3 linked regions of the Oryzias latipes genome follow. The protein of the gene in region 2 interacts with the protein of the main gene of each other region in a biochemical or structural test. Links are inferred from orthologs where the notes say so. Each region holds a gene or a part of one and is shown on either strand. Other genes may lie near its edges.

Region 1 (9,652 bases), on a different chromosome or scaffold from region 2:
TTTTAGAAAAAAACAGCATGTGAGATTGCAGAGGGGCTGTAGAACAATACAGACTATGAGTTTTTCCATTTTAAATATTTTTTTGGATGCTGGTGTGCCGCAGGATTTTTGTCAAGGTTAAAGTGTGCCGTGGCACAAAAAAGGTTGAAAAACACTGGGTTAGAAAAGGGAACGTGAAATTAAAATTTGTAGAGCCCGAGCAGATCTGGACGTACGTAGTTTGTCCAAGTGGGGTTACTGTAGTGCAGTGCTTCTCAATTATTTTTTGCCAGGCCCCCCCTAGGAAAAGAAAATGTTTCGCGCCCCCCCTGACCCCCCCCCATAACCCCCCCCCACACACACACACACAGACACACTCGCGCGGTGACAATACATCAGGTCAGTATCTATAAAATTTGTATACCTAAAATTGTATCTTTTAACACTAACAAAAGAAAAAAGCAAAATAAATCCACTTTCAACAAATATTAACTTTATTTAGCCACAGAAACCCTGTTCTAGTCTAAAACAGAAAAGAAGCTGAAAGTACCTGAAATAAAAAAAATCTGTCATTCCTTATTTAAACTAGAAACATTTTGACCAACTGAACCATTTGATGCTGAAAAAAATAATTCAATCAATAAATAATATTAAATCTAAATTGATCTGAAACATTAACACAGCAGCACCAATATATTTAACGTTTTTAGTCTGAAGAAATAGGTAAAAACGTGCTGATTTTTTTTTTCTAAATGACGGATTGTTTATTTCTGATCTCATAAAAGTGCAGCTGTTTTCCTGCATTACCTGCTGTCTTTATGTCTGTCTGACACCAACTAAACCACAGGCAGACAAAGAAAACATGGATGGAAAATAAAGACACGTCATCAAAATGTCTACAATAGTTCATAAAGAATGACATTGTTAGCATGAGCTTAGGAATCTAAGGGCAGCGGTGATCTTGGGCAACAGGCAGCGGTAGCAGTGGTCCGCGTGCCCCGATTCCCCTGGCAGACAGGGCCCACACCACCCCTCCCCTTTCGTTCTCACTCGCGCAGCCGCGGACAGACAGAACAGACAATAGGAACCGAATAGTGGACCAGATTATTTTCCAAGCACTGAGCCGCTGTCACCGCTGCCCCCACGTTAAATTTGCGCACCGGACAAACCTGTGCCTAAAACCGCCACCACCGCGCGCCCCCCCTGGCATCGCTTCGTGCCCCCCCCTGGGGGCGCGCCCCACTATTTGAGAAGCACTGCTGTAGTGTGACGTTATCTTCAGTCGAAAGGATCCCGAACGGAAGTTCCAGGCCGAACGGTTATGGTACCTACACCGGAAAATGACTGAAATAAAATGAAAATGACTCATTCTTTACATAACAAACCAGATTTTTTTATAGAGTTAAAGCTGCTTTAGGATTTCTGCTAAACATCAGGTGAAGTGGACAAAAATCAGGCCATAGAAGGTGATAGACATGGAGAATAAAATAATAAATTGAGCTAAAAGATGTTGATTTATCTCCAAGTTAGTTTGGTTTAAAGGTTCCTCATTCTCACAGCTTCAAGGTGAGTTCTTGTTCCACCTTCAGGGACGTTTCGCTGCACCTTCTGCCAGACTGAGGTGGAGGAGGACAGTTCTGTCTGTCCCGACGGCAGGACTCTGGTGGCTCGATTCAACGAGCAGATCGAGCCCATCTACGCGCTTCTACGTGAAACCGAAGACGTCAACTTGTCCCATGACCTGCTGGAGCCGGAGCCCGCAGAGATCCCTGCTCTCAAACAGAGGTCTGCATCAGTCTGTAATTCTCCACTTATCGGGGGTCATCCCTGCAGGAAGTTTGGAGGACGAGAAATTAACCGAACCTTCTCTGTAGTCGGGAACGCGCAGCGGCGGCGGCGGCAAACGCCGCCGGTGGACAGCACCGGGAGGCTTGGTCCACCAAGGGAGCGTCCTATTCAGACCTGTACACCCAGAACGTGGTCATCAGCATGGACGAGCAGGACGCGCAGCAGAAGGCGATCGGCGAGGCCAAGGCCCTGAAGGAGCGGCCGGTGTGGTTGACCCAGAGCACCGTCCAGGGGGCTTACAGCGACGCAGACGCCCTCAAGAGCGGTACCGTTTCCCTTACCAATTCATATAATATGTGCCACAATGGTCATCTCAGACCTTTTAGGTTCTTCTGTTATCAGACACGGTTGTGTTTGTTCACGTACCTGACGTGTTTCGACGTCCGTCGAAACACGTCAGGTACGTGAACAAACACAACCGTGTCTGATAACAGAGGAACCTAAGAAGTCTGTTAACAATACAGGCACTGTGTGTAAGAGCAGGAGCAGAGACGAGGAACACGGTCAGGTACAGCAAAATGATCAAACAGAACCAAAAAGGTTTGATTATAATTCAGTTACAAACCAGTTCATGTTTCATGATCAGTTCCTCTCGCTGGGTCTCCGTCAGAAAACCCGTCTGCTCTTTCAAATGCCGCCTTTCGTCTGGTTAAATGAAAGTGGGCGGCGGTGGCGGAGCTTAGCAAGAACTGAAATCGACGGCCTTGACCTCCAGTTGGCTCCAGAGGACAGTCGGCATTAAATCAAAGGTCGGGGAGGCAGAGCAGACTGTCAAAGGTCAGACGAGGCTCTCAGGCTCCGTCCAGGAAGCTGCCAAAGGCCATGTGACACTCAGAGCTGGTCAGACCTTCCAGAACCATAATTGTTCAATTAAAACAATCACAGACTTGATTAGTGGGAGGCAGAGCACGGGCGCCTCATTAATAAAACCCATTTTTGTGGAAATGAAGGAATCATTCCTTCCAAACATCCTGTCTGTTTGCTTTGTTTGCGTCTGTTGTTGCCCTTCAGGCAGAAATCCTCAACCTGCAAATGATTAGAAGATTCTTTATTTTATTGATATCAAATAGTTCACTATTAGTAATAAATTGTCTTTATATTTGAAAAAACAAGAACAATTCTGTTGCCCCAGTGCCGTTTTTCAGGTTCAGGCTGTGAACACATTGTAGAAAAAAAAGCATTTTAAACTGAATAAAGATGTAACTTTTACTATGGAGTCATGAATTCCTCTGGTAAAAACCACAGGAAAGAGTTTTTTTTCTTTTTTATGCCGTTTTTAGCCAACAGTCTTATTGGAGGACATAGTTTCTGCAAAGTCAGTTTTGGCAGATTAACCCCAAAAGGCAATTTTATGCGTCATTTTCTTTATGCATGTCTTCTATCATCAGAAAAATGTCTAAAGAACTCGCTAGAAACATCATTTTCATCACAGTGGTCTTTATTTTAATTTTTATTATTATTATTTATTTTGAGTTATTATTTATTTTGAGCATACAGTTATCTGTATGCTGAGTATAAACCATAATAGCTTTTTTCTTTGTTCGTCTGGATCTAAATCATCATAAATTCTGGAAGGCAGAAATAATTTTCTCACTTTTTTCTCCTGATTTGATTTTTTTTAAATCTTTTGTCCAAAATGTCAGATTTAGTTTCATTTTAAACTTCAAAAAAGAAAAATTTCCTGAATTAGAACATGGAAGAGAAAAGTTCCTTTAGTGCAGCGCAGCCTGGAAGTAGACCGATCATTTCTTTAGTCAAATAAAAACCTGCAAACATTGGCATTGGCTCGGTTTCTGCAGATCCGTTTATGGGATGGATTCACGTTTTGTCCCCTCAGATGGAGCCGCTCTGCCTGGGGCTCAGGACGGAGCTGCAGCTCGCGATCAGACAGACGAAAACGAGGAGGTGATGCGCGCCCTCCTCATCCACGAGAAAAGGGCCGGCGCAGGACCAGGGGTGGGCGGAGCCGGCGCCTCCTCCAGACCTGCCGCGTCCTCCGCCCTCAACGCCAGTGACTCAGAGAGCGACACCAGTGAATCAGATGACGAGTTCCCCGCAGGTCCTCCTCCCATCGCAGCCGCACGGCGCCCAGAGGAGGACGAAGAGGACGAGGACGACTTCGAGGAGGTGGGGGACGAGCCCATGGTGATGGTGGGAGGTCGGCCGTTCTCCTACAGGGAGGTGAGCCAGAGGCCCGAGCTGGTGGAGCAGATGTCTGCGCAGGAGAAGGAGGCTTACATCGAAATGGGACAGAACCTTTTCCAGGACATGTATTTCTGAGCCCGGCTCACACCCAGTGTTCATCTGATGGCGGCGGCTGGAGGACCTGTGCACACGTGCACGTGTTTAAACTTTAGCAGAGGAAAGCTGTCATCTGTTAGGGAGGTGTCCCTCCTGCAGTATTTTATCCATCTGCAGTGTTTGGAAAGATGATGTCCTCAACACAAACATCCTGGTGGCAGATCCACCCAAAGTCTGTCTGCAGCCTTTACAGCTTCCTGTCTCCTTTTTGGGAGGAGGAAGAGGAGTTGGATTGGCTGCTGAAGGACTTCTTCAGAGTTGAGACTCCTTCAGCAGCGATGCCGCTCAAAAGACAGGATTAAAAAAAAAAGTCTAAATTAGTTCCACACAGAGTTTTATAGCAGTGATTTACAGTTAGATGCTGAGAATAAAAGTCAGTGTGGGTTCAGTATTAAGTGAAAACATGTTCAGAGTTACATCCTTTTTTTCCATTGCATTTTGTCTTCATGCTGCGTTCTTAAATTTCCTGCTAAAATGCCAAACTTGCAGTTTGTGGGAATCAAAGCAGTGGATGGCAGCGGCTAATTTCCCTTTAATACGAGTTTTTTGTCAATAAAACTTTTGTTCTGAAGCTTTGATTCATTTTTTTTCTCTGTTGCTCTGTTAAACCTGAGGAGTCCCCAAAGATGATTTTTCTACAGTTTTTGCTGTAAGAAAAACTACAAAAACGATAAAAAACCAGAACAGCCAATCAGAATTTTTCCTGAACATCTTGGGGTTTTTTTGACAAAAAGGAAAAATGTGCAGCTCAACATTTCTGCTGAAACCACACATGGAAAGCTTGTGAACAACACAAATGTTTGTTTTTTTGTGTGTGTGAATCTTTTCCCTCTGGTTCTGCTATGAATGGAAACGGTTTTCTTCCCTTAACCCTTGTGCTATCTTAGATGACCCCCCCCTTCCATTGAGGTGTTCTCCCTACCACGACAAAGGTGGATAAAGGTGGAAAGATTTCATGTAATCCATGGACACCAGTGAAGATCACAAATCATTGAAGAAAAAAGGTTCAGAGCACTGTCTAGTGGGTCTAGATGACCCAACTCCCATCGTTAAAGAGCCTAGGATAGCACAAGGGTTACACGATGCTGCTGTCTGCATCTGTGTCCAAATATAGACAAAGGTCTTTTCATGAGAAACTTTATTCAGTTTTAGCAGCCGCTGCAGGAGCTGTTACGAAGCTCCTTCTCTTTGTTTTGGGGACTTGTCTCTGTGACACCTGGTGTGTCAGAGCATGAATGAGGAAGGTGAGTTTAGGGATTATCCCTCCTCTGAAGCAAACCCCCCCCCCCGCCCCCCCCCCCCCCATGTGGCACACAGCCAATGAGATTAGACGCTGCAGGCCGCTGAAAACCTGGGTTCTGAGCTGCGCCGCCATTCTGTTTCAGTCCCGAGGAACTAAAATGAATTTCCTGTACGTCACGACAAAAGCAGAAACTGCAGTCAGGCTGTAAGAAAATAAGCAGGAGAGAAGCGTGTGACCAAACTACAATGTTTTAAGGTATAACCTACTTGGAGATTGAATTGTATATCTGGGAATTTTATATTATGGCTGGAAAGCTAAGAAAACTGAATTGGTCTATAGCTAAGTGGAATCTTTTACAAGCACCATCTCTCCTAATAAGGAGAAATCAACAAAAGGAACCAGTCAGGAAGACGGACCCCCGCTGCCACCCGAAAACAATGAAAGAACCACTCTGACCAAACTCAGGAAAATGGGGGAGATGAAAAACAGGAACATTTTCATTTGTCAAAAAAACAACGATAAATATGAAGAAAAAGTGCAACGTTGCACAACTCAAACAGTCTAAAAGAAGTCCAGGTTTAACTTTGAGATGTGTGAGGATGATGTCTGTGGGTTTGGTTCCTCTCATGTTCTGCTCTCAGGTTTGTGTTCTCCTGCCAGTCACTCCTGGTTCTAGGTCCTAAAGATCCTCAGCTGTTTGTATTTAGGTCATTAACCTGAGTGGCAGCTTTGTCACTCTTTTGTTGCTCCCTGAGCTCATCTTTAAGGTCATTTTTGAACCCTTTCAGCCTCGGCCTGCGTTTCAGGTTCTCCATCCGGAGGTTCCTGATCGTTATGACCAAATGTAAGTGTCTGTTACCTGGGGGGTGAGTGACTGTGCTTGAGCGCGATGCCGAACGGTGAGAAGGACTATTTCTGAAATGTTCTTTGTAACAGTGAAGGTCACTGTCTGTCTGAAGGGAGCCCCCAAAAAAAACAACAACAAAAAAAAAAACGATGACATAATTGCAGACAAAAATGGGGAAAAAAAAAAAAGAAATGGGTGGGAAATCGCTAATGGAGCCCCCCCCCCCAAAAAAAAGTACATATCCTCTGACGAAATCAAAAAACATGTCAGGGATATCCAAAGGAAGTTTTGAAATCATTATGGGATGGCCACAGGACCTATGGCTGGCATTATGTGACAAAATGAGAAATTTGGAAATTTTCCCGTTTTCCCTTTATTTGGGAAAAGGAAACTTTTTTTTTTTAATTATAATTTTTTTTTTGTTCGAGTTATTTTTCACCCCCCTGGAGTTTTGTTGACATAAATTTCATAGGAATTAAATAATAATATTCCACAGGACTTTTCATCCAGCATTTCCTGACTTCATTGGGGATTGGGGGGGGGGGGGATTTTGATTTGATTCATTGATTTATTTCAAGCATTGTAGTCGAAGGAATAAATAATTTACCCATATTTATCAAACTCATTACAGAAATGTTGAAATGCATAGTTTAAAAAGACAGAAAATAAAACAAAACAAAAAAGTCACTTAAATCACATTTGCTAAATGAAATACAGTGATCATTAACGTTGATTTATTGCTTGAAAAGGAGCAGAAAGAAGCGAATTTATATAATCCCACCCCTGCTCAGTTAATTTATTTTATAGTTTTACAGTTTTTGTAATCTGGTTCTGATCCAACAGATTCTTTCTTTCATGATTTCAGTAAACAGTAACAGTATCCATTATGTAATAATCATTGATTATTAGAACACATGATCACAATAAAACGGTAATCATTGCTACACATTGCAGATCAAGTAAAGAAAATCAATAGTTTATTGATTGTAATTTAAACATTTCACTAATCATTATTGCACATTACAATGTAATACTCATTGGTTGTAATTAAAAGAGCTTTGATTCTTTCAACACAATCAAGTTTACACATTTTTGGAAATAATTTGGAATCATTCAAACACCTGTTGATCCTTAACTCCTCTTATCTTCATATCCTGAAATCAGAGTTTCTTTCTACATTTTCTTAAATATTTGGATATTTGAACATTGTCTGAGCTCATTACTGAACCCGTTCCAAAGTTTAGTGCCACACACCGACACACAGAAACTTTTCTTTGTGGTTCTTATCAGTTTGATCTTGAAGTTCCTACATTTCCTCAGTTTGTTTCTTCTTCATTTTCTAAAAACTGTTTCTGGATATTGAATGGTAACAATTTCACACTGACTCTGTATACAAGTTGTTGGTGTAAAAATCCACAAGGTCAAACAGTTTTAAAAGTCTAGATTGATTAAATAAATTGTTTGTATGATCAATATTTCCGGCTTTATGTACAATTCTGACGGCTGGTTTTTGAAGTAAAAAGAGAGGATGAAGTGAACTCTTAGAATTATTCCCACAAATGTCTATACAGTAAGTGAGATATGGTAATATCAAAGAGCAGTACAACAAATATTTACTGTTGTGTTCTAATATATTTATATAATATATTATATTTAAATATATATTTATTTATGATTGAAATCTCTTTCCACTCTTTGCAATTACAAGTTGTAGATTTTGAATGCCGTGCTCACGATGAGCTCGCAAAAGTGGCGTTCTCCTCTTACTTGCATTTTTATTTTTATTTTTTACGGGATATTGTGAAAATGTAAAGCATGGAACGTGGCTGAAAAAAATGATAGGATATGAACATATTAGGAGTGTGGGCGTGGTTACCAAATAACCTCTGTGACTAAGGAAATCCAAAAGCTTGCTTCTGCAGATTCTTCTGAAACTTCCTTAGATCTGCTCAGGATCCTCACGTGACCAAAAGTAAAATGGTTGCTATGGAGACAACGCCAACAGAAAAGCCGCCATTAAAAACAAACGAACAATAACATGCAGCTCTGACCAGCCTGACAGGGATGGAATGGGGGGGGGGGGGGGGGTCGGCGGGTTTTCATATGTGGGTCATAGCAAGTAAGTTCGGGTCAAAGGTGGGCGGGGCTGGCGGGTAGCGCCTGCGGTCTATACAACTCTGCTCGCAGCTTTAATTCTGTTTGCATTTATTTTGAGATTTTAAGGGTTGTGGGGTTTCCACACATGCTAGAGGCCACTGAGCGTTGTCGTGTTGCTGGGTTCATTCAAAGAAAAGCACTAAAAGTTCCATGGTGAAAACAACATTTCTTTTTGAGTATTTAGCGGTGAGGAAAAGAGTTTATCATTTAGCTCTTCTTGAGTTTGGCCTTAATGCCTCTTTAACCCACTCTTTGACCCCACTTGAGAGTGGGGTCATCTGGACCCCAAAAGATAGCACAATGGTGAAGAAGCCTTTCAATGGGATCAAAGCGTCTTCCTTTGTTATTGGTCTTTTTCTGAGTGTACTTCAGTCATTTTTACAATTATGAATGTGTCAGCCAGCATGATCTTCAGTAGAAACTTGCTGCATTTTCAGTGGTTCAGGTTTTCTGTCTCCTTAAGGGCCCCTGTCCTCCATTTTTCTTCTCCCTTCTGACTTAAGAACCTAATTAAAAAGATCCATTACTTGCTAGACGACGACACAGAAAGTGCTAAACAGATGTGTCAAACGGATGCAAAAAAAAAATCCCCTTACAGATATTTGGCTGAAAATGTCAAGAGAATCTGGGTGAGATAAAGACCTGTGGGGTCGCTCGACAAGCCCATACATTCGTTTTAAGTTGAGAGGATGGACACCTGTAGGGAAGAAGCTCAAAGGTCAGGATGAAAACAGGACCGGGGCTCATTAAAACATCCTCTGCCCTTCAGGACAGCTCAATTAAAGTCCCAACCTCCTGCTGGTCCATTGATCTACCAAGGCAGGTCTCGGTCACAGGAAGGGTGGTGGGAACAACAGGGAATTTACCAAAAAAAAAGTCATAGAAACACTGGAGAGCAGCTAGACTGTGTGCTGATACAAGCAGGAGAACTGGGGTTTGACATTTCTTGACCTACTTCCTTTAATGCTCTTGTGGAAGAAAAGAGCAACTGAATTCTAGAGTTTATTCTGACATTGTTTTGGTTTGTGGAGTCATACAAAGGCATGATGTAATGACTGATGCTTTACAAGATTTCCCTGAGCAGATTACATAAGGATTGATTGATCGCAGGTGCCCCTGACACTCCTGATCCAATAAAGCCCAACGATTAATGACTTACCGGTAATCATCCACCCTGCCTTCCCCATCTTTGTGCCTGCAGTTCTCTTCCATTACCTTCTTTTGAGCTCCTGTGAAGATAGAAAATGACTCTTTAGCTTATTAATAGTATTCAGATA
Region 2 (11,626 bases):
CCATGTCATGAAAACCTAAATCTTATTGTGGAACAGAAGGAATTGGTTAAATTTAAAAAATCTGATGGATTTTTGCAGAAATAAGAAATTTCAGATGAGATCAACAGAGATGCAGGAGACTCCAGGGGGTCCGGAAGAGACTCCAGGGGTCCACAGGAGTTTCTAGGGGTCCACAGGAGACTCCAGGGGTCCACAGGAGACTCCAGGGGTCCACAGGAGGCTCCAGGGGTCCACAGGAGACTCCAGGGGTCTGGAAGAGACTCCAGAGGTCTTCAGGCGTGCATAAGGAGTCCACCGCTCTGAACGGCTCAGGCCTTCCCAGAGGGTTTGGTGGAATGAGGCTCCAAATAACTGAAGGTAGGAAATATCTTTGGCAAAAGCTTTTGATATTTTTCAATAAAACGTAAGCAGAAACTTCTTAAAATTTACACAAAATGTAAGAATTCCAGTTTTATCAAAAGATTTTACATTTTGAACCTCTGGTTATACACAGGAATCTGAAAGTGTGAGTTACGTCTTTGGGGTAAAGAATCCATCAGTGAGAAACGTAATGCTGAAGACAAAGTTGCTCACAAATTTGTCAACATTTTACCGTCCTTCAGAAACATTTCAGCAGAATATTTGCAGAACTTTACAAGATGAAGATTTTTTTATTTTTTATAAAGAACCGTTTATTGTTATTCAAACCACGAGATGATTCATGAAAATCGTCATCTTAAATTACTAATTCAAACAAAATAGAAGCTGCTTCTTTTCTACAAAAACAGTCTTAGGGGTCGAGTCTGACACCAGCCTAAAACTGCGAGCATGGCCCCCCCCCTCCGGGACATTTACACATGGTACAGTCTGTACACACAACTGAAATACTAAACAACAGTCTGGAATGTGTGTCCACTTTATTCTGTCGAGGGATCCTTCCTGGCTGAAAAATCCTCCCACCTTCACAAATTCAAAAGCAGAACCAGAGACGGAGGAAGAGGTTGGAGGTTGGTCTTCCTCACAGCTGGGGAAGCTTGTCGACGGGGGTGTCAAACTTGAAGTCGGGAGGGAAAAGTTCAGCAGCGCGGGGGTAGATGAGCCTGTAGGACTGCCTGATGGTGACGTCCGCCACTCCAGCAATGTCTCCAATTTCTGTAGAACACAAGAACCCGGTCTGTAAACTATCCAGAACATCTGCTCCAACAGGAGAGGATGGACCCAAACGGTCCCCAGCCTCATGTTGCGTTTAGGTGCAGACGGACCTTCTCACCGGTCTCTAACATTGGTAACATTGACATTTGGGTCATTTCTGTCGTGTGGTCTCACCTTTCTGAGTCTTCTTCTCTGCAGACGCCTGAGACGCCATGTAGATGGCTGCTGCCGCCACGGAGATGGGGCTTCGACCCGGAACCAAGTCCAGCTCCACGGCCTTCCTCGCAATAAAGGTGGCCGCCATTTGAACCTGCTTGGGCAGGCCCAGGTTGGAGCAGAACCGGGACATGAAGTCCCCCGTGGTGATGAGGTCCACGCTGGTCTCCAGAGCCTTCAGGATCAGCTTGAAGCACCGACCAATCTCTTTCTTGGAGATTCTGGAGACGGCACAGATCTCTGCAGAGAAACGCTGCCGTTAGCTTGGACGTGTTGAAGAAATCTAGGGATGGCCAACATTTGCAGTTCAACGGTATCGGTCTGATATTAAAAAATCTACCGATATTTTTCTGACTGTTTTCAGGCAAATGTTCTTTTTGATAGAGATATGTGTTCTTAATAGATAGACCTAGTTGAGGGGGAGTTTATGGTTACAGTTATGTCCAATATTCAATAAATGCTCTGAATGCTGTCAAATATATTTACATGACGGTTTTAAAGTGAACCATGTTCCTATGAGATTCTGTGCTGTATGTTAAAAAAGTCAAAGTGATTGTCCAGCAACCTCTGCGTTGTTGTAGACACTTGAGTATCTGCAGACATCACCCATCAGCTGCAGGGGGAATATCTGTTGTCGGTATCGGATTATTATTATTATAAACTGGCTGACCTTTGAAGGTTCTGGGGACTCCTTCCTGTCTGCAGGCGATGTAAAGGCAGGCGGATGCGATGGCGTCGTTGGCTCGGCCCTTCAGGCTCTTCTGCTCATAAACTTGCTTGAATAAGTTGTTGGTTCTGTCCTGCAGAGCAAAGACGTTTGTGAAGCTCAGACTGGAAGTGTCATGGAGGCATGAGCAGTCAGGACCCATGCAGAATGTTTCAGGCCTCTGAAGAGGCCTCCTTCTTCCTAGGACCTGAACCTCAATGGTGTTCAGCTTACATGAAAACCTTTATCGTTGACCTGCTCTTAGGCTTCATGCGGTTTTTAGACATGAAGGAATATGAAATCTAACACGGCGTCAGCAGCAAAGAGGAGGGACAGGAACCGAAGTACGACCGCGCTCAGAGGGCGGGACTTAAACGGTCAGCTGATGTGCTCAGATGTTCCACTCACTACGATGTTCCGGGGCAGGTTGATGCGGTCGGCCATGGTGCTGATCTCTTTGAAGGCGTGGAGCATGGCCCGGTCCGAGCTGCTCATGGTCCGCCGGTTCTGATACTTGGAGTTCCCAAATTCATCAAAGCTTGCAGACCCGGTTCCCTGGAGAGAAGAACCCAGAACCCACATGTGGATGAGCCGTGTTTCACAAGAAAGTAACTTTACTGCAACATGAAAACCAGCAGCAACATGAAAAGCAGAAAACCATCAACTTCATGGTGAACGCACAGATGAAAGACATTCACCCACAAGAGGGGATACGTGCCATCCAACCCTCCCTCCCTCCCTCCATCCATCCCTACATCATCCAACCATCCACCCATCCATCCATCCATCCCTACATCATCCAACCATCCATCCATCCATCCCTCCCTCCATCCATCCATCCATCTATCCATCCATCCACCCACCCCTCCATCCATCCATCCATCCATCCATCATCCAACCATCCATCCATCTATCCATCCATCCATCCATCCATCCATCCATCCCTACATCATCCAACCATCCACCCCTCCATCCATCCATCCATCCATCCATCATCCAACCATCCATCCATCTATCCATCCATCCATCCATCCATCCATCCATCCCTACATCATCCAACCATCCACCCCTCCATCCATCCATCCATCCATCCATCTATCCATCCATCCATCTATCCATCCATCCATCCATCCATCCAACCATCCATCCATCTATCCATCCATCCACCCCTCCATCCATCCATCCATCCATCCATCTATCCATCCATCCACCCCTCCATCCATCCATCCAACCATCCATCCATCCATCCATCCATCCATCCAACCATCCATCCATCTATCCATCCATCCACCCCTACATCCATCCATCCATCCATCCATCCATCCATCCAACCATCCAACCATCCATCCATCTATCCATCCATCCACCCCTCCATCCATCCATCCCTCCATCCATCTATCCATCCATCCACCCCTCCATCCATCCATCTATCCATCCATCCAACCATCCACCCCTCCATCCATCACCTGAACCACAGCTGTCACTCTACCACTAGGGGTGCAATGGATCACAAAAGTCGTGCGAGGTGCACACGAGGAGGTGGGGGGGTTATCTGCAGTAGACATGTGTGCTGAACCGTGGCTAGAGATCCGTAGGAATCATCCGTGATCTGTTGGACCCCTATCTACAGCTAACCACAGGTCTGCTGTCCCACCTTGCCGATCATGGTAGTTAGATCTCCTCCGTTGAGCAGAGGGTTCTGGGCGTCTCCCACTCTGGATGGATCTTTCTGAGCTTTCTCGTTGGAGAAGGTTCTCCACTCTGAACCCACATCAATGACCCGGTCACCTAAGGACAGAAGGCGTGAAGAACCAGAACCGTGATGTTAGAAAGGCTGAGTGGAAACTTTGATTACACGCTGAATTACTTGTAATTGATTTGAGCAACAATCTCGTTTTTCTGTTTAAACCGTACTTTGACGGTTCTGGTGGATATTTGTTGATGTGCTTTTGGTTCTTCTTTGACGTTTCTGAGGGATAAATTGTGCTACACTGATCTGTGCACACACTGCAGACGTACTGCTTTGTACTGTTGTGTGTAAATGATGCAGATTCATCATCAACATTAAAATAAGACAATCAGATAAAGAAAATGAAAACTGTGGTCGTTCCAGATCAAAGTCCTGGAGCTTTGATCTTTCTTTGGAGGAAAAATGGCTGAAAATAGATCCGTGATGAGAATAAAATGGACTTCCTTTACAGGTGACATAATTACCATAATTTCCGGACTATAGAGCGCACCTGATTATAAGCCACACCCATTACATTTTTAAAGGATAAACCATTTTGTACATACATAAGCCGCACCTGTCTAAGCCGCCCGCATGTGCCCACATTGAACCATGTGTTGTAGAATGGATGTGTACGTGCTGAAACCGCTCGCCGGCGTGTGTGAGAAAGAGGGGGGAGCTCGTGCAGCGGGATAGGAAGAGGGAGCATTCTCATTCACTCACGCTCCTTCCCCCTACACACCCAGTGTGCTGACACAAACACATACTCATTCTACAACACCTATGTAGTTAGTTCATTAGGTAGATTTAGTTGTTACTGTTATTTGTTAAAGAATAATGCGTTGTAATTATTACTTATACCGGTATTTATTTGGAAACCGCGACACCGTGACTTCTCCTGCTTCTTCATCACCGCGGTGATCAAAAATCCCACACCGTCACAGCTCTATTCCAAACAGTGCCTGTGACACGGCAGTAACACGGCAGCAATACGGTAGTAACAGCACTAACAGGGCTGGTTAAAAAAAACATCGTGGTAGAAGTCACTGAGAGCAGCAGTAACTTATTGGCGCTCGCCTCTGCGCAGCACGAACTTCCTGTGCACTGAAACCATGGAAGTCTTCCTCCTCAGTGTCGGATTGGAAAAGCGTCAGATATTCTTCACCACACACGCTCTGTGTCTCTCCTTCGTTGTCGCTGTCAGTGTCACTCTCATCCTGAGGTAAATTCTCTCCTGAGTCTGCACTGTCCTCTCTGTCACGCAGCAGACCGGCTTTTCCAAACCCGTTGGTGATGGTGGATTTTTTCACACTGCTGTTAACCATTGCTTTTAACTTGAAAGCTGCCTCATATGCATTTCTTCTTGCATTTTCCATGATGAGGGTCTGTTCGTGCTATTCATTCAGAAAGCGGGAATTTACATTAAACTTGTGTCTTCCTCGACACATATACCTTATCCCCCGTCTCACTCTTTCCTTTTCTGCTCGAGCGCCCCTAGCAGCCGTTAGAAAAAATGCATAAATCAGCCGCATCATTGAATAAACCGCAGGGTTGAAAGCGTGTGACAAAAGTGGCGGTTTATAATCCGGAAATTACGGTAGCAGGGAAAAAAAAGCTTTTAGGTTTGTTCAAAGCGCATGTGAAGGTCTGACTGTGGAGGCCAGGTCACACAGAACTCTTTACAGCTTCAGCATCAAGACAAACCTCTCCAGCTATGGACCCATTTTACCTCCAACAAATGTAGGCCAAGTACAGGTTTATCATTGAAGTACTCACCTACAACAAGCCCACACTCGGGGCAAATCATGTCCCCAGCGCGGTAGTCCTCCACCAGGATGGCATCAGGATGGTTGGGACATGTCACTCTGGGTAAACTGAGAGCATCTCCGCTGCACAAGCAAAACACAAATGATAACAAAAATGTTAAAAAGGAGCACAAAAACAACAAATAAATGACGAACAAAGAAAATCCCTTAAAGTCGATGTTCCGCTACATTCTCCAAGGAAGAAGCCAGACACCTTGATAGGATTAACAAATATTTATTAAGTCTACAAACAGCCTATGTTTCCAGTATTTATCAGTCGCCTGGTTCTGTAGTTGCTTGTGTCATCTACCCACCAAAACAAAACGCGTTGAATTATGGGAAATACCCATTTCACGATCGCTTCAACTTTCCTAGCATAAAGAAATATTAACGAGTTTAAGTCCCGGTAAATGTGCGGACGTGCGCGTTTCCACGGAGTTTCAGGCTGATCCAGAACTCCTTCAGGCCAACGTTCAGATGTCAGAGAAACGACAAAACCGGGAGTTCTAACGGGCAGCCTCTTCCGTGAAGCTGCCCGCGAGCTAGCTGGCTGTCACGGACGGAGTACAAAAGACTGAACATTCCCGAGAAGAAAAATGGAGCCCGACACTTTCTACCGCCAGAGTCCCACGGTCAATCACAAGACGCGGTGGTTTTTTACCACGAGACACTTTGAGTCACATTAACAAAGAAAACCGGGCTTTGAACGGTTAGCAGCCATTGCAACTCACCGACTTGTCGAAGCCATCTTCCTCCGCTCTCTTCTCCCGGACGGATGCAGCACTTGTACTTATAGACTATTCTGATCACGTGACCAACTACGGGAAGTCAAGAAGGCCAAATAAGTTTAAAAATAAATAAATAAATAAAGTCAAAAATATTGTGTCACCTTTGGTGAAAAAAATAAACCTGTCCCTTTCTTTTACATTTCAGACCCAAAGCGAATAAATCATCAGACTACATTGCCTGCAATGTTGTTGCCGTTTACACATTTGACAGGTCTACTAGAAAGTTGAAGTTGGGTGATCTTCTTAGTCTTCATTCGTGTGTTCATGATGAATACACACGTTGTGTGTTGTTGTGTTTCAGCTTTTCAGGTTTATGTTGACCCCACAGAGACCTTCAGACACCTGATCGACCATGAGGGGCAGGCTTTGGCCCCTCGCGGGCCAAAGGGTTGATGTGTAAATGAGCTTAGTTAAGGTCGGGGTAAACTAGTCATGGTTAAATTTGGGTTGGGGAACTGTTCAAACCTGAGTGTGTGCTTCAGTGTCTTTTTTTCTCTTTACATTGTTTTTTTTCTTAAGCTTCTTTCATTTATTTTTAAGCTAGCATTACTAAAACATTTAACCAATAAAAACAAGTTAAAGACCCACTTTAATGGAAATCACGTTTTTGGTGTTTTTAATATGTTCTAATGGCATTTTTCTCATGATATGATATGATGACATATATAGAAAATTAATCTTAAAACTGCATTTCTGCCCCAAAAAATGTTTTTTTTAATGCATTACTGTTCACAACACATAGAACAAGTATGTATGACAAGAACAATAGTCATAAAAACGGGACTGCCAGGGGATGGCATATATTACAATAGAAATATTGTAAAACACATCACAATACATTGAATATGTTCAAAGACAGAGAATTTTCATAAATACGTATTCCCTTTTTTGTTTGTGCTATTAGAAATAGTACATAAATACGATTCTAATTCTTTAATAAATACAGGGGGGAAAAGTTGTGAAATTTTGATTTGTTGATGTCTAACTTACTTTATATTATGATTGGATTAATTTTCAATTTTATGTTTGATTTTATGTTCTTTTTATGTAGGCCAAATATGATTCATTCAAATTTCATCTGAAATTGTGAGTCAAATTTGTGATTTATAAAACAAGTACATTCTTTCCAAAACTTTTTTGTAATATTACAGTTCCAAAATAGGTGGCTGATTGTTTCTGGGTGTTCTTAACAAAGAGTACAGTTAGGATTTGAAAAAGCTTGTAGCAGTGACGTAGAACTTGCAACGGCAAACCAGAAGCTACCTGCTCCATTCTGATCATCACCTGCAGACAAATAGATCCATGAACATCTTTGTTTTCCTGGTGTCAGATAAATGCATCTAGACATTAAAGAAAAACACAATTAGAAAAAACAGACCACAACAATAATCAAGTTTGTCATCCACGAGGGAGAAAAGCAAATGTGGCAGAAAATGTCCACCACATTTCTCTTCTCAAATGACTGCTTCTCCCCGTGCTCCTTTTATTAAGAATTCAAGTAGGAGGTAACAATTTCCAGACAAATAGAAAAGTTCATTAGGGGGTGTCGTATAATGACCCATTTGGGTGGATTCTAAGTTCAAACAGTATTCTTTATCAGCTCAGGACAGTGTGTCGTTAAAGCCCCTCATCCTAGCTGGGGATGAGAAACAGATGAACAAACACAGAACTGTTTTCTAAAAAGGTAAAAAGGTAGCTCTGAGTTAACATTTAAACATACATTTAACCAAATACACTTAAACAATGATAATAATAAAACAATTTCGTTCACACCTGGTCTGAGCTGGAATCTGGATCTAAACTGTACGGATGGATAGGTACGATATTTCTGCCATTTTAGTTGCACTGATAATAGATGTGTACATCCATATGTGGTCTTATCACCCTCTCACGGTGGAAAAATTATTATCTGAGCTTCTTCATCCACTAAATCATCTTCAAATGGACACGCCATGCTGCTTCACCTCTCTGAAAACAAACTAACCTTCAACTAAACCTGCTCCAGACCAGGTTATGTTCAGAGCATGAGTTTCTATGAACTAAGCATACCCTGAAACATACCACTGTTTTTGGAACCGAAAGCTGAGGTTATCCACTTCCTTAGCCTCAAACTTACTGTGGTAACTAGCATAACCTGCTTTCTGGAATACCCCCCTGGTTTTCCTCCTTCAGAGCAGCCTAAAGCAAAAGGTCAGCATTACTTGAACACCGCCATGTGCAACAGCAGATGGAGCTATAACCGAAAGAAACTTATTTGGCTATCCAGTTTCCCAAGCTCACTGTTTTCAGAAGAAGACTGTGTTCTCCTTTTAACGGACAGAGCTGCTCGCCGCCATCATTTAGCAGTCAATTGAATTTAAAGGCTCACCGCTGATGTCAGCTTGGATCAGTGACACGACAGCGAGTCACAGTCTATTGTCACACACGGCATCAGCAGAGCTGAGCAGCCATTTATGACTCGATTTGTTTTGATGGATTCAAAAGACATGCATTCTAGGAATTCTGAGTCAGTCAAAAAGTCAAAAGAGTTCCTGCCGCATCTGTGCTTGTCTCAGAAACAAGTCATGACATGATGGCGAGCATGTGCAACAGGCAGACTTAAGGAAAACAATTTTTTCTTCAGGTTTTCTTATCTTCCTTCAGAAATATGAATCATTTCCTGAAGGCAGCATGCCACCTAAACTCAAATATTAACATTTTTGCAGTTCCTGATGTTTTAATTAAGCAAACCTCATGCAGCTACTGCATTCCTTCAGCCTACCACAAGACCACACATGCAGCCCTTCAGCGCAGAGCCGATGCGAGCTGAAAGCAGAGGTCTGTGCTGGGTAATTTACAACAGCGTCTCATGGGATAACTCGGTAAACTGGTTGCCAGGACCATTTCAGCAGCTTTCATTTAAAGGCCAACCCAGACAGGAAAACCACAGTGATTAACCATTAAACCACATACCTCACATGCACCTCTTCTTCTTCAACCACTAGCATGCCATTGCACCACACAAAAAAGCTAAAAACCACTTAATAATGAATCAAAACATCTCCATTACATTCGTTTCTGTCTAAGATTAACTATTTGGCACAAATGAGACGGTCCGTTTTCATGTGGAGTTTTTAGTTCAATACGTTCTTGCCTGAAAGCACGTTTTGGAGGATAACATAGAAGAAGATGACACCCAGCCGTGAGTAAACATTCTTGTGTCTCACTCACACAATGTAGTTTCTGCAATGCAGATGAAACTAGAGAGAAAAAAATGAATAATCTGTTTATTAGTCTGCCGTGATCCTGGTGGTTAATTTCAGATGGTTTATCCCCCACTTTGGTCATTTTCTCTTCTCCATCAGTCACCGTGCAGAACAGTCTGAGTGGTAACAGGCTGGCAGCAGCCAGCAGGTCAGGACCGGTTGAAACCTGTACGGATCGACTGCAACTGACACTTCCTCCCTCCACCCAGCAGTGCAGCATCGGGCAGGTCCAGGAAGAGCTGGGCGGTTATCTTCAGACACAGTTAGACACAAGGAGAGACTGACAGAAACACACAAGTCCTCATGAGTCAGCTAAATTATTACCAAGTCTCACAAGATTGTGCTGCATTAAAGGACTGTTGGAAATACGACACCAAGATGGAAATTTGACTCTGTTTTGTTTAGTTCTATGTGAACACATTTCCTTTTGCTTTAAAATAGTAACTATTGTAACTGCACTACTGAAGCTACTACTACTAAATTTGCGGCTGTTAACTCGTCCTTAAAAACAGATTATTTTCAGAAGATATTTATTGTATACATACAGATTAAATGTATACAGATAGAGAAGACGGTCAATTAACCAGGGGGGTTACTTCACAGTCCTGTTTTTGTTTCTATTTCTAGCCTGATCTTGGCCAAGAAGCAAAATCCTTTGTGGGACTATCCTAACATTATTCCGTTTTGGAGGAAACATCACTTTTTTCCCCGTCTAGTTGACAATACATTTACTGTATTCAGATTAATAATCAGAATGTTGTTGTTTCCGCGCCTTTGCGGGGTTTGATAGTTGAATGTTAATTTCAAAAGTATCCGTTTTTCCAAGCCGAACGTGAATGCAGCGGCAGATAAAAGTGCAGGCGGGCGTCTACAGGAAGTGGCTCCTCCGTCCTCGTCCAATGAGAGGCGCTGTGCTGGACTCCACCAGCGCAGACTGCGGGGTCCATGTTGGTTCTGTCTGCCCTCCCCAACACTCCTCAGGATGGAAGTCTACCTGGAAAAACGGCACCACGCGCGCACTGAGGTATGGGGGTAACCGTTCGGAAAGCCCCGCGACCACGAGCGCCCCCCTCCCACACGCAGGCGCGCGCGCGTCTCCAAACTGAGCTCCTCCAGTTTCAAAGGCGCCGACAAATGAGGTTGAAGACGCACCTGATGAGCGGCTGAGAAAGAAAGTGGCATGTGGCGGGAAGAGGACAGCACCTGCACCGAGATAACCCTACTGTGACGGTGAGGACACGGGGTCATGCTCCCCTCCTGGAAATGTATAGATTAGTCATTACAGATGAGGTCAAAGCACTTCTTTCTCCCGCTAAGTGAAGGAGGTAACGCCGGATCAATGCTGTTGTACCGGGTAAACAGTTTTCTCTTTGCTGATTCTCTCATCCATGTCTGTATGTCACCTGACCCACAAACTGAAAAAAAGCATTACATGATGAACGAAAATCCTTTTAGTTCCTCTTTTGAAGACCTCGTTGTGTTTTGTTTATAACGTAAGTTTAACCACCACGGCCGTTTTCCTCTGATTTAGCCTCACTTGATTCTATCGGTTAATTCATTTCAGGTTTTTTTTCGTAACTCCGCGGTCACGTGGGAGCATCACTGCGCGTCAACTTACAACTTTTCAAAGCAGGCTGAGACTCCGCCCCCCCCCCCCCCCCCAGGTGACCCCGCCCCCGCTAACGTGAAGCTTTTCTTAACCGTTGAGGTTAAAGGCGACACAAGCCTTTCGGTAAAGTGCGTGTTTTTGTCGAGCAGCTGCAGCGGATGAACACAGGGAGGCGCTGCGTCTGCTGTCCCCCACCAAAGGTCTTTGGTTTATTCTAGGACAGGCGGCGCAGGTTGGAAACTAAGACCTACAAACCTTCAGTTAGACACTCAAGTCTCTGGTTGTCCATTCACGTCTGTAAACTCTTGGGGTTTGACTCGTTCACGTGTTTTTATGAAACTTCGGCTCTATTTTTTTAAAAACATTCCAATCCCCTGAATGGCTCATGTTTCATGCA
Region 3 (11,555 bases), on a different chromosome or scaffold from region 2:
TTTTGTTCAAACAAACAAAAAAGAATAAAATAACAAAATGATGCTTTTTAGCAAAATAAATGGTGATTTATTACAATATGTGGGTTGAAGTTAGCTTCAGGACACAGATTCAAACTCTGAATTTCACTGAGCTGCTGCAAACTTCATTCTCAGCTTCAGCGTGTCATAGTTCAGCTACACTACATTTCTAATTAAGCCCATGCTGTTTGTGGGTTTGGGAAATAAATGTGTGTGTGTGTGGGGGGGGGCAGTGCTATGTCACTCCAATAGTACAAAGAAGAAGATAAACAAGCAAAACTCTAAAACTTTGGTAAACTTTAAATGTAAAATGATTATAAATTTAAATATTTTTTAAATAATGTTGATCAGTCTTGCCTGCCTTCTTATATTAGACCACTTTGACAGTGGGACCTTCTGAAGACCCCCCCCCCCACACACACACACACACACACATCCAACGACCCCCTTTGCGCGTTCTCTTTAAGGGAAGCACTCCCACATACTCAAGACCCCCCAGCTCACCCCCCTCTGTCTCTTTTCATGTAATAGCAATACTTAAAAAAGAGGAGCAAACGGCCATCCATAGAGGGTAATCTCGCTGTTCTGACGCTTAACGATATTTCTATGGCGTGTTTGTCGGATAATGTGAGGATGGGATGAAAGGTAATCGGCGTGCAGAATTCCTAAAGCTCCCTTATCCTTGTTGAATTTCTCAAGAATTCCACCTTTGCCCCCCGGTTTCTCTCAAATAAATGACTCTAGAGTCAGATGCCTTTACGCGCACGCACCCTAAACGCAACACAAAATCATGCGTAAAGTCCGTCTTTCGTCCTCTTTGCCCTCCGGAAAGCGTCCTTTAACTTTTTCCTGAACTTTCAAAACAGAAAAAGAAAGTTGACCACAATATTGCAGAAACTTTCAAAAAACGTCTGGCCACTGTCAAATCCCTCTGATAAAACTCTTTTTCGTCTCCGTTTATTCTGCTCGGCTGCGGGTGGATAAGCTTTTTCCTTGTATCCACAAAAGTACACAAAGAAAATCTGCGTCTCGACTTCTGGTCTTTGGCACTTAAATTTTGGTTTTGGGTACACTATGAAAATAAATTGTTTGTACTATGGAACCACGAGGGTTTCTGCGCTAATGGATTTATAATCTGTGTCTCTGGGACCATCCAAAGTAATTAGCACACATGCTCTGAAGAAATGATGGTTAGTGAGCATTAAAGCCATTGCCCATAGCATAAATTGACAGAGCCTCTCACTGAACTCCAACCTCAAGCCTAATTGGTTGTCGTTGCAGTTATTGTCTTCAATTACAGTCTCTGGATACCAAACCCTGCAAGAGATTTGTTTCCGTTTATGGCTAAAAACTAAATGAGCGCAAATTCCTTGAAGGAGTCCTCACACATAGAAAAACTAAAAAAGAAATGTTTGCAGGTGAATAGGATTACCTGAACTGCACCATTTCACGTTAAACATTTAAACCTTTTAACCATTTAAAGAAAACTTTCAAATTTTACCACAGTTCTTTCCTTAGCAAAAAAAAACATACAAACAAAGGTTTAAAAATATTGAACATAAGTTAGCTTTAATTTCATATATGTTAGTTTCCTGTTTTGGTTACGTAGCACATTCTTTACATGCTTAACCTTAAAAGCATTTCTTAAATTTCTACACACAATGTTTTCATTAAGAGCAATTATGGAGGTGTGTGAAAGTGCAGATCCATGTGGAGAGGCAGGTGATTTCTAATGATCCCTCTCCCCTCACCTTGTGGACAAAACAAGAGGCTCCGTGCGCCCCCTTACTCGCCATAAATCCCCTCTCTTCACCCCACACTCCATATAACAAAACCTTCGTCTTTAGTATAAAAAAACAATTTTTTATTCATATTTGTCATTTTGTGATATGTTTGTATTGCTATTTAATTTTTAGTCTTATTTAGTTTTGCTTCCACTGCAGAAAATGCGTTCCTGCTCATAAAAGCGGGTCAACTTCCAGCTACAAACGGGTCAGAGGCCAAGAAGGGCTTTTTGTGACGTTGAACCTTAATTGCTAAAGACAATTTCCCCTTGTTGCCAAACATAGGCAAATTTGACGAAAAAACCCCATCGGTGTTCAGTTGTAAAACCTCATAAATGGATGTTTGACTTTTAATTGAATTCAAATATCAAACTGCTATTGTTTTTAAATTCTGAAAGTCTGGTGTCATGGTCATTTAGATAATGTGCATTCACGCAGTGCGTGGATCCGTCTATGTGTTTACTTCCGTTGGTTTCAGCATCATTCCCCTTCAAACAAACTTTTTGCACGCCATAGAAATGATAGGGGATGTTTCACAACCACGTCTCCTGCTCGATTTGACGATCAATGAGTGCGTTAGTCAAACATGCAGCCGTGAGCTATAATGCCTATACTTACACCTTCAAAGGTCCCATCAGTGGACTCGCTTTAGATTGTTCTTTTGCGCTAACTTTGCAGGCAGGTGTTAAAGCTGCAGGCGGCGGCGTCCAGAAACACAGACCTCCAGTCTGCACGGGAGGCTTTTGGAGCAGAGGCCTCTGCAAAGGGGAAATCAGCCTCTCAGCAATGTCTTATTGACAGCATTCTTTGCTTACACAGAATCAATATTAGAAAGCCTCGTTAATACATTTTCTACATACGCTGGGTGTTTTTAAATACCCTCTAAACACCCTTAAATGTGTTCTTCTTTTTTCTTCTCCTCGTTTTATGTTGGGGGGCTTGCACTTCGTGACCTCAGCGTTTTCCCAAATGATTGTTGGTTCAGCTTCATTTTCTGAGTCTGTGTGCGCATCATATCAATTTGGGACAGCTGGAGTGTTTTGGTGTTTTGGGTGAAAATGTATTTAAGCGTGCACATCCTATGTGTATAGAAATTATTTTGTAAATTTGTGAGCAGTTTTGTATCTTTTGTTTTGTTTTTTTACGTTAATACCGTTAATTAGAGGCTGCAAAGCGGTCCATTAGTCTGAATTTAAGTGTGCGTAAAACGGCTGTGCTCTGCGTAAATGCATCCATCACAGGAATGACATGTCAAACAATGGGATTATTTCCTTATATATATGTGTTTTCTCTAAGTACACATATTATTATGAGACGTGCATAAATGTGTAGTCATAGAAAAATCTGAATATCAGGTCATAAAATACACTTGCTTGTGTAAAATATTAAACGATTATAAACTTTGTTGTAACATTTGGAGATGAAAAATAAATGATCGTGTGTTATTTAACTGATGTTTTCTTTCTGTCGAAATAGTTTGACCTGTTTTGCAGTCCCTTCACATCAATAGTGTCGCTTTGATCAATCATAAGGCATTGCCATTTTACATTTCCTTTCGGCAGCCTTTTCTGACACATGACGGTCTCCTCCGATGCGCAGAGATTTTCCGCGGATCAATAATATTCGCTCTCTGACTGGCGAAAGCGGAAGACAAAAAAACAACGTTTAAAGATGGCCAATGTCTGCTCCCCTTGATCACTCCTTTATACCCCGTGACAGTATCGCTGAAACAAACAGACGGCTATCGATCCTTTCATTATGTGTTTAACCAACAGACACGCTCGCATGTGAGGTGCGCGGAACGCTCGGGGAAAGAACTCCCGTGTCCCGTGGTACCAACAAGCCTCTAATAGCATTACTACTTTCAGTACAAATCGGCGGGGAGCGCTGGAAACGGGTTTCAGTAATCTGCGTGAATGGGGAATAAAGATGCGCCATAAACGTGTGGAAGAGAAGTTTGAAAAATAACTTGACTTGCCTTATGGATGATTTTTTTTTAAACAGCTGCAAAGCTGACAACCTCCGCCGCTGCTGCTGCTGCTCCTTCCTCCTTTAATATCCTGCCGTCCACTTTCACTCGCTGTTTCCCAACATTTTTTGTTGGAGCGTCTACTCTGCTCCCATGCGCTATCCCTCTCACTCTCCTCTCTTCTCTCCTGTGGACCCTCTTTCCAGTCTGCAGAGTTAAATCTTAATGATACACTAAGATGGAGGGGAAAAATCTTTGTCTGATTTAATCTTATTGGTTTCACCTTTTCAAAGAGCTGGGGACATGGCCGAGGAGTTTCAGTGGAGTGTCCGACGCACGGACGGGAGAGAGAGTTCTCTTGTTGAATACTTAAAAACAAACCATCCCTCCTGTGCGTTTTCAAAAGGGGCACTTGCATATTAACGCTCCTTTATATCTTAATGTAAATCCACGTAGTAAGAGATGGTTAACACAAAAATACTTTTTTTTGTAAAAACTACCATTGCATTTATTATTTATTATTAACACATTCAATACTTCTGTTAGATTTTACGCACGTCTTTTTGACTTTTTAATGCATGTAATTTAAGACAAAAGTATTTTCGTCTCTTTTATCCTCTTTTTTTAATTTTTTTTGACAGTGTTTTTATTTCAGTAAGATAAATACTTTGTTTTTAAAAGTTTTAGGAAACCATAATGCAAAAACGACCACTTTGAGGCTCACATTTAAAAATGTAGCTTCTTTTAAAAAATGATTTTTTTTTTTTGGAAAAGCTTGTTTTAATATCAGATTTTAAGCTTTTAAAAATGCATGTCGGAAAACTTGCATATGAAGTTGTAATTGAACATTGTACGCTAGATGGCAGCGCGATCCAGACATTTTTGAGTAGGAGAGGTATAGTCAGCTTGCAGAAACCCTGATACAAAAAGGCGGAATCCCCATGCAAATCCCCCGTAACTTCATTTCATTTTGAATTACTGTCAATATTAGGACACAACGTGCCACCGTCTGCAGTCTATAGGACTTTAGAAATAATCCAAAACAGCTTATCTTGTTAGAGATGTTCGGCTCATTTGCAAGACCCGCCGTTTGTACAGTACAAATGTGCATTATTTTTTCCTGTGATATTTTTTTTCTTTATGTTATGTTAAATCTAAACTAAATGGTAAGTTTTAATGAGCAGAACTGTGCCATTCACAGACGGCGGTGTGTACCGCAATGCGCACGCCAAGGACAAAACAGCGTGTGAACAGAAGAAATCAATTTGAACCAAAAAGAAGATGTCACTTATTCCTAAAATAAAGACAACAGTTCCACACAGACTGGTCCGAAACTTTGGGCAATATCTGAGGCAGAGTGGTGTTTCGCTGCTTTTCGTTTATTTGTCAAGCGTAAAAGCTTTGTCCTCTCTTGCCTTTACCCCGCTTTTTTCTTCTTTTTTCGCTATTCTATCCAGGGTTTCTTCCTCTTTTTGGTGACAATAGACGGCCCATACTAATCAGGTTTCAAAGTAAATAGCAGCGCGGGGCGAGCTCAATGTAAATTGCGCCTGTCAGAGCACCCCCCATACACACACACACACTCACACCGCCGCCCCCCTTCCCTTCCCTCCCTCTCTCCATTCCCCCCAGCCCCTCCAGCCGTAGATGGCAGCGCTGTAAAAAATATCCACGCCTCAAACGGCGCTCAGTGCAGCGCCGAGGCTTGGTATCACAAGGCGGACACAAGCTTCCATTTCGACGCGTAATGCCTTTCCTGGATCCCGACACCAGTCGATCCATCATGCGCCTTTACGCAGCCTATGTATTTCCAACAGAAATCCCCCCACCCCCCCATCTCTGGACTCCGATATATTGGCGTAAAAAACATTCTCCAACTGTAAACACAAGGAGGTGTATTTCAAACCCAGATGCACGGTTCCTGCTGTATTTTACGAATAAAATCACATTTTCACATCCGAACACGAGACTGGATGACTTCTGAGATGGTCACTTTTTGCAGTGGATAAGCGGAGGGGGATTCTAACCAATAGAGAAACAGAGAGGGCTTGGCTATAACCTCAGCCTCCCATTTTCTCTCTCCCTCTGTCCCCCCTCTCCTCCTCTCCTCCTCCTCTATGCAGGGCTCTGGCCAGTCAGTCGCCTTTGATTATCAGTCTCCAGCAGCCCCTCTCTTGGCTCCTTGACATGAGCACCATATAAGGCGCAGCGATCTCCATAGAAACGTGTCAGTTTCAATAGTAGTGTCAAAGTTCACTATATACAGACATTCGCGCAGATCCCCCGTTTCGGAAACATTGCTCTGCTGGTCCTCCCGTTTAAGCGCATTCATTTTTTGGGTCTCTCCTTCGTCTTGCATATTCTATTAGTATTTGGTGTTTTTGCTCTTCTTTTTTTACATTTTCTTCTTCGTATCCATTCCTCCTGCTGGAGAGGAGTGAAACTATACATGGGCACTTCTTTCGGCGACGCGATTTTCTTCCGCTGCTGGGCGAGATGACGAGCCTTATTTAAGAATATATAGATGTAAAAAAAAATCCAGCTCTTCAGTTTTTTCCTGCCCTCCTGCGCGACGAAGACGGGAGTGTAAAGGAGCAAGAGGAGGAAGAGGAGAAAGGAATTTATCTCCGCTGCACTTTGGATCGCATTTCTTTCCAACAAGGTTTTCTTTTTTTTTCTTCTTTTTTTTCTTCTTCTTCTTTTTTGTACTTGTTCCTGCGTCTACGTGAATCCTGCCTTTCCTCTGTGGCTATTCAGCATCTAACTGCAATTTGTTACGTCTGGACTCTGGTTTTCCTACAAGATTAGGGATTCCTGAATGGCTGACTGCAATTTACCTTGGAACTGGCCTCCCGACACTTGCAAATCCTGATCGGGTGCCTCTCCAGTCGCCCTCCTGCTTTTGAATGTATTGATCGCCGTTTTTTTTAACCCCATATGAGATTGCGTGCACCGATTTGACTTTGCACTGCCCCGTCTTTTGAGATCTCTTTTTTTTTCTCCCCTCTGCGCTATATCTACATCAGCGACCATTTCGCTTTATAGCACTTTCCGTGGCCGAGATATGGCAATGGTAGTTAGCGTCTGGCGAGATCCGCAGGAAGACGTGGCCGGAGGACCTCCGAACGGCCCCAACCCAGCAGCGCAGCCGGCGAGGGAGCAGCAGCAAGCGGCGTCGGCGGCGCCGCACACTCCGCAGACCCCCAGCCAGCCGGGACCCCCGTCCACGCCGGGGACCGCCGGGGACAAGGGGAGTCAGAATTCTGGACAAAGTCAGCAGCATATTGAATGTGTGGTTTGCGGAGACAAATCGAGCGGCAAACACTACGGCCAGTTCACCTGCGAGGGATGCAAAAGTTTCTTCAAGAGGAGTGTACGGAGGAACTTAACCTACTCATGTCGTGCCAATAGGAACTGTCCCATTGACCAGCACCACCGAAATCAGTGCCAATACTGCCGGCTGAAGAAGTGTTTAAAAGTGGGAATGCGGCGGGAAGGTGAATATTTAAGCTTACTCTTTAGTGCAGACACGCAGGGCTGCCATGTTGCATTAAGGTCAGAGGCGCTCTCTAGCCGGGCGTGCACTGCAGACTCCTTTTTGATCCATGTTTACATGAAGGCTTTTTATTTTATTTTTGGTGGTAGTGGAGGGGGGGGGGGTATAGTGTGCAGCAGCAGCAGTGATGCTCATGGAGGCAGGCCGTCTGAACAAAGCGTCTCGTCCAGCTGACCTTTGTTTTTAAATGTTCTAGTTTAGCCTGTTTGATATGCAGGTTATGGCGCAGAATCGTGAATTATCCTTACATGTGAACATGTCGGAGAGTGTGTGTGCGCGTGAGTGTTTGTAAGAGGTGGGCTTGTGTGCGTGTAGTTGTGTGTGTGTGTGTGTGTGTGTGTGTGTGTGTGTGTGTGTGTGTGTGTGTGTGTGAGAGAGAGAGAAAGAGAGGGAGAGAGAGAGGCTAATGGTCCCATCCCTAGCAGTCCCTTAAGCACAGGCTTACACATTTCTAAATGTACAGCAGGATTTGGATCCTGGCTGCGTCATCGTGGAAAACGGCCATTCGCCAAATCCACGTCTCCTCCTGCTCAGACACACCGAATCCTGCCGCTGAACTTGCCCATGGCTCATTGTTGTGCTCACTGCTGCATTAACAGGCCGTACAACTTTCATAGCCACGTCAAGTGTTTGATTCCAATTGATGCAGACATCCCTCAGTTAAGTCTATTATTTGCAGAGAACACTATAATCCCGCGTATAATATGCGCTGAATCACCTTCATATTTTCTTTTTGAATCCAAAAAGGACAAAAAAAACGCGGATTGGATTGCTTTGATTCGCAGCTGACCTTTTGATCTGAACAAAATGTGCATTTGTGGCTGCATTTAATGCCAATTATCAATCGCATTTGTGGCATTTATGGACACAGTTTGTAATAATTCTAATAAGCACAATTGCGCGTAAATTTAGAGCAGGAACACAAGCTCGACTGCTGACCTATTGTAATATGGATGATGAGGAATTTGTTAGATGAAAGCTGTTTTGCTCTCAGACTTGGGGTAAAGATAAAAGGGCACGTTGTGTGTTTCTAGACTGTCGATAGAATAATTTGCTAAGTTCTATCATCAGTTGTTTATTTCACTGCATGCCAGTTTGGTAAAAAAGGGGGGAGGGGGACATACTAGCTGGAGCTTGCTTTTCGGCTGTAATCCTCGTGGATAATGTTTACCAGTCCTGGATGCACATTTCCTCTTTATTTCCTTTCTTTTTGTCAGCGGTTCAGCGAGGACGAATGCCTCCAACCCAACCCAACCCAGGCCAGTACGCGTTGACAAACGGAGACCCTCTGAATGGCCACTGCTATCTGTCCGGATACATCTCGTTATTGCTGCGGGCTGAGCCTTACCCGACGTCCCGGTACGGGAGCCAGTGCATGCAGCCCAACAATATCATGGGCATCGAGAACATCTGCGAGCTGGCGGCTCGTTTGCTCTTCAGCGCCGTGGAGTGGGCGAGAAACATCCCTTTCTTTCCCGACCTGCAGATCACCGACCAGGTGTCCCTTCTCAGGCTGACATGGAGCGAGTTGTTTGTTCTTAACGCGGCCCAATGCTCCATGCCTCTGCACGTGGCCCCTCTGCTCGCTGCAGCGGGCCTCCACGCTTCCCCGATGTCCGCGGACCGCGTCGTGGCTTTCATGGATCACATCCGGATCTTCCAGGAACAAGTGGAGAAGCTTAAGACCCTGCACGTGGACTCGGCAGAGTACAGCTGCCTCAAGGCGATCGTGCTTTTCACATCAGGTGGGTGTCCAGAAATGTCAACACAGGATCATGTCTGTGATCTCAAACTGGGGGCCTGTTCTGGTCACGGCAGCGATGGGCGCAGTGGCGTCAGGAGTGTTGCTGTCAGATGTGGACTGGTCACGAGATGCTGGTGTGCCCAAAGAAATGCTGTCTTGTCAACTTCCTGCCACATATCCACCTCAACGCACCCCCTGTCACTTGGACCCGCATGTAAACAGATCAAGTGCCCCTCCCTGAAACCCGAAATTAGTCACAATTGTGTAGCAAATACTGTTAATATTAAATAAGCAAGTTTTTTGAAGGTATCTGAACTACATTTTAAATAGGCAATAGTTGGACTCCCAACGTTTTGGAACAGGTGTCATAGTGGCGCTCAGAGATGAAATAGTCAGTCTGGGGGTGATTTATGACAGCTGATGCGTTTATGAATGTCGCAGCATGCCTTTATCCCTGTTTTTCCAGTACAAACATATGTCTTCGGGGGCAGGAAATAATCCCTAACAGACTAAGATCAAAAAAGATCATGCAAGTCTGATGCGTCAGGGCTTCGCCTCTGTAGGACACAGAGCCGCACTTAATAACATAAGTTATTAGTAGATTAATCTTAGCCGACCTATTAATTTTCTTAGTTACTGAGGATAGTTACTTGTGTCAGGCGGCTTTGAAAAGTAATCAGCTGAAGTTTTTAAAACTAACCTACATTGATGATAGCTTAATTGATGGCTGACATGGTGAATAGTCCTAAATCTTGTGCGTAATTCAGATGTGGTTTTGGAGTTCTATGTGGAGCAGTCTGGGCTTTTTTTTAATTATTATTTTTACAGGTCAAGTTAAGTTTGTTGTGAAAGGAAAAAAGGAAGGGCAACACAGTTCTCAGTGGCCAAAACGGTATCTAAACTTTCTAAAACCTTTTGTCAGCAGTTGCTTATTATTTATCTGGCCAACACCAAAAAAAAAAAAGAGAAAGAAAGACAGAAATCCCTGCATGGCACGATTGATGACGAAATGGTCAGTTTTATTGTAGTTTGAAATTCTGGTAAAATTTGGAAATATTTAAAATATTTCAAACAATTGTAAATAAATTGTTTTGAATTTAATCACAGAATCTAATATCTGTTTATGTTTTTTAAAAATATTTAATCAATTTTGTTCCCTAAACTTAAACAAAGAAACTTGATATTTTCTATAAAACGTATTATATTATATTATATTATATTATATTATATTATATTATATTATATTATATTATATTATATTATATTATATTATATATTTATTTTTAAATTAAATATATTGTGTATACTTTAATACCAACATATGTTTGGATCAGGTAGTTAAATTCTTCAAAAATATATTTTTTTATTTGTACAACTTTTAAAAAGCTGAAATGGTATATATAAACATTCAAAGTGTGTTCCCGTTCAGTTTTCTATGTTGTTTTTTTGTTTCAAATTTTTTTTATTTATTTTTATTTTTTACTTGAGTAATCATGCCTATATTTTTTACGCACAAAATCATGGCAAAACAGTAAACGTTTTACGGATTTTGGGCAATTCGGTACCAAAAAGTCTGTGGGAGGTGCAGTCAATTTATTTATTTATTTATTTATTTATTTATTTATTTATTTATTGCATAATCAAAATGCGTTACTTCATCCATTTCCCACCGCGGTTAACTGGTGTGTTCCTGTGCGCCCTCGCCCCTCCTCTGTAACCGTGTGCCGAGACTCGTTTGCACGTCTCTTTCTGTGGCGCGGAGACTCGGTTCTTCACTCCAGTTGACTCAGAGGCCAAAAAATAAATAAATAAATAAAATTAAAAGAAACTAAAGAAGAAGAAGAAATCCATGTGCACATGAGCATCCCCCATGTTTTCTAACAGATCATTTAGTTAGCGTGATGGGCTACAACTGGTGTCGGCTGTAGAGAAAGTCACGTGGCTCTTCGGCAGGATCAGTGTGGATTGTTTGCCTTTAATAACAGCAGCCTTGTCAGCATTTGATGCATAAACAATGGTAGCCAGGGTAAAGTATTTTCCCCGCAGATCTGGATCATTGTCTTACATTAACTCGTTATCCATACATGCAGTAACTTGCAAAAGAAGATGTGCTGCTTTTGGATGTGGAAGATTGCCTTTCTTTCTGCCCATTGAGCTTGTGGGGCGCAGGGAGGCCTGATGGAGAGCTGTGGGGTGTCTTTGGGCTGCTTTATCCTGATGCGTTCACATGCTGCCCATAATCGAAGATACTTTTCTTTTGTCGCCAAAATCCCGCGCTATTTTAGCCTCGCCGAAAATTCCAAATGTAATTATTAGAAGCTCCATCGATTGGTTGTAGATGTTAAAAGACGCACTCAGCGTTAATCCAGGGGGATTTGCATACAGGGGGCTCTGACCGGCCGCGCTGAGGTCACATTAAATCACCCCGAGATCTCAGCGTTGCCCCCGGGTTCAAAAGGTTATTGTGTCTGGCTATAGTGAGTT

The links.
Region 1: the proteins of gtf2b (region 2) and gtf2e1 form a complex in vitro, tested with the Homo sapiens proteins (2 studies listed by BioGRID). The link is inferred for Oryzias latipes from reciprocal best matches to the Homo sapiens genes GTF2B and GTF2E1.
Region 3: the proteins of gtf2b (region 2) and nr2f1 form a complex in vitro, tested with the Homo sapiens proteins (2 studies listed by BioGRID and IntAct). The link is inferred for Oryzias latipes from reciprocal best matches to the Homo sapiens genes GTF2B and NR2F1.

The regions. Positions count from the first base shown.
Region 1 is NC_019879.2:29,660,609-29,670,260, reverse strand, and holds the end of gtf2e1 (general transcription factor IIE subunit 1), read left to right. Parts: intron 1-1,568; coding exon 1,569-1,764; intron 1,765-1,853; coding exon 1,854-2,092; intron 2,093-3,664; coding exon 3,665-4,107; 3' UTR 4,108-4,700; downstream 4,701-9,652.
Region 2 is NC_019875.2:5,822,348-5,833,973, forward strand, and holds gtf2b (transcription initiation factor IIB), read right to left. Parts: upstream 6,415-11,626; 5' UTR 6,336-6,414; coding exon 6,319-6,335; intron 5,672-6,318; coding exon 5,559-5,671; intron 3,842-5,558; coding exon 3,708-3,841; intron 2,609-3,707; coding exon 2,462-2,608; intron 2,148-2,461; coding exon 2,018-2,147; intron 1,588-2,017; coding exon 1,306-1,587; intron 1,132-1,305; coding exon 998-1,131; 3' UTR 438-997; downstream 1-437. UniProt on the Homo sapiens protein: General transcription factor that plays a role in transcription initiation by RNA polymerase II (Pol II). Involved in the pre-initiation complex (PIC) formation and Pol II recruitment at promoter DNA.
Region 3 is NC_019867.2:15,612,550-15,624,104, forward strand, and holds the start of nr2f1 (COUP transcription factor 1), read left to right. Parts: upstream 1-5,885; 5' UTR 5,886-6,835; coding exon 6,836-7,268; intron 7,269-8,544; coding exon 8,545-9,072; intron 9,073-11,555. UniProt on the Homo sapiens protein: Coup (chicken ovalbumin upstream promoter) transcription factor binds to the ovalbumin promoter and, in conjunction with another protein (S300-II) stimulates initiation of transcription. Binds to both direct repeats and palindromes of the 5'-AGGTCA-3' motif.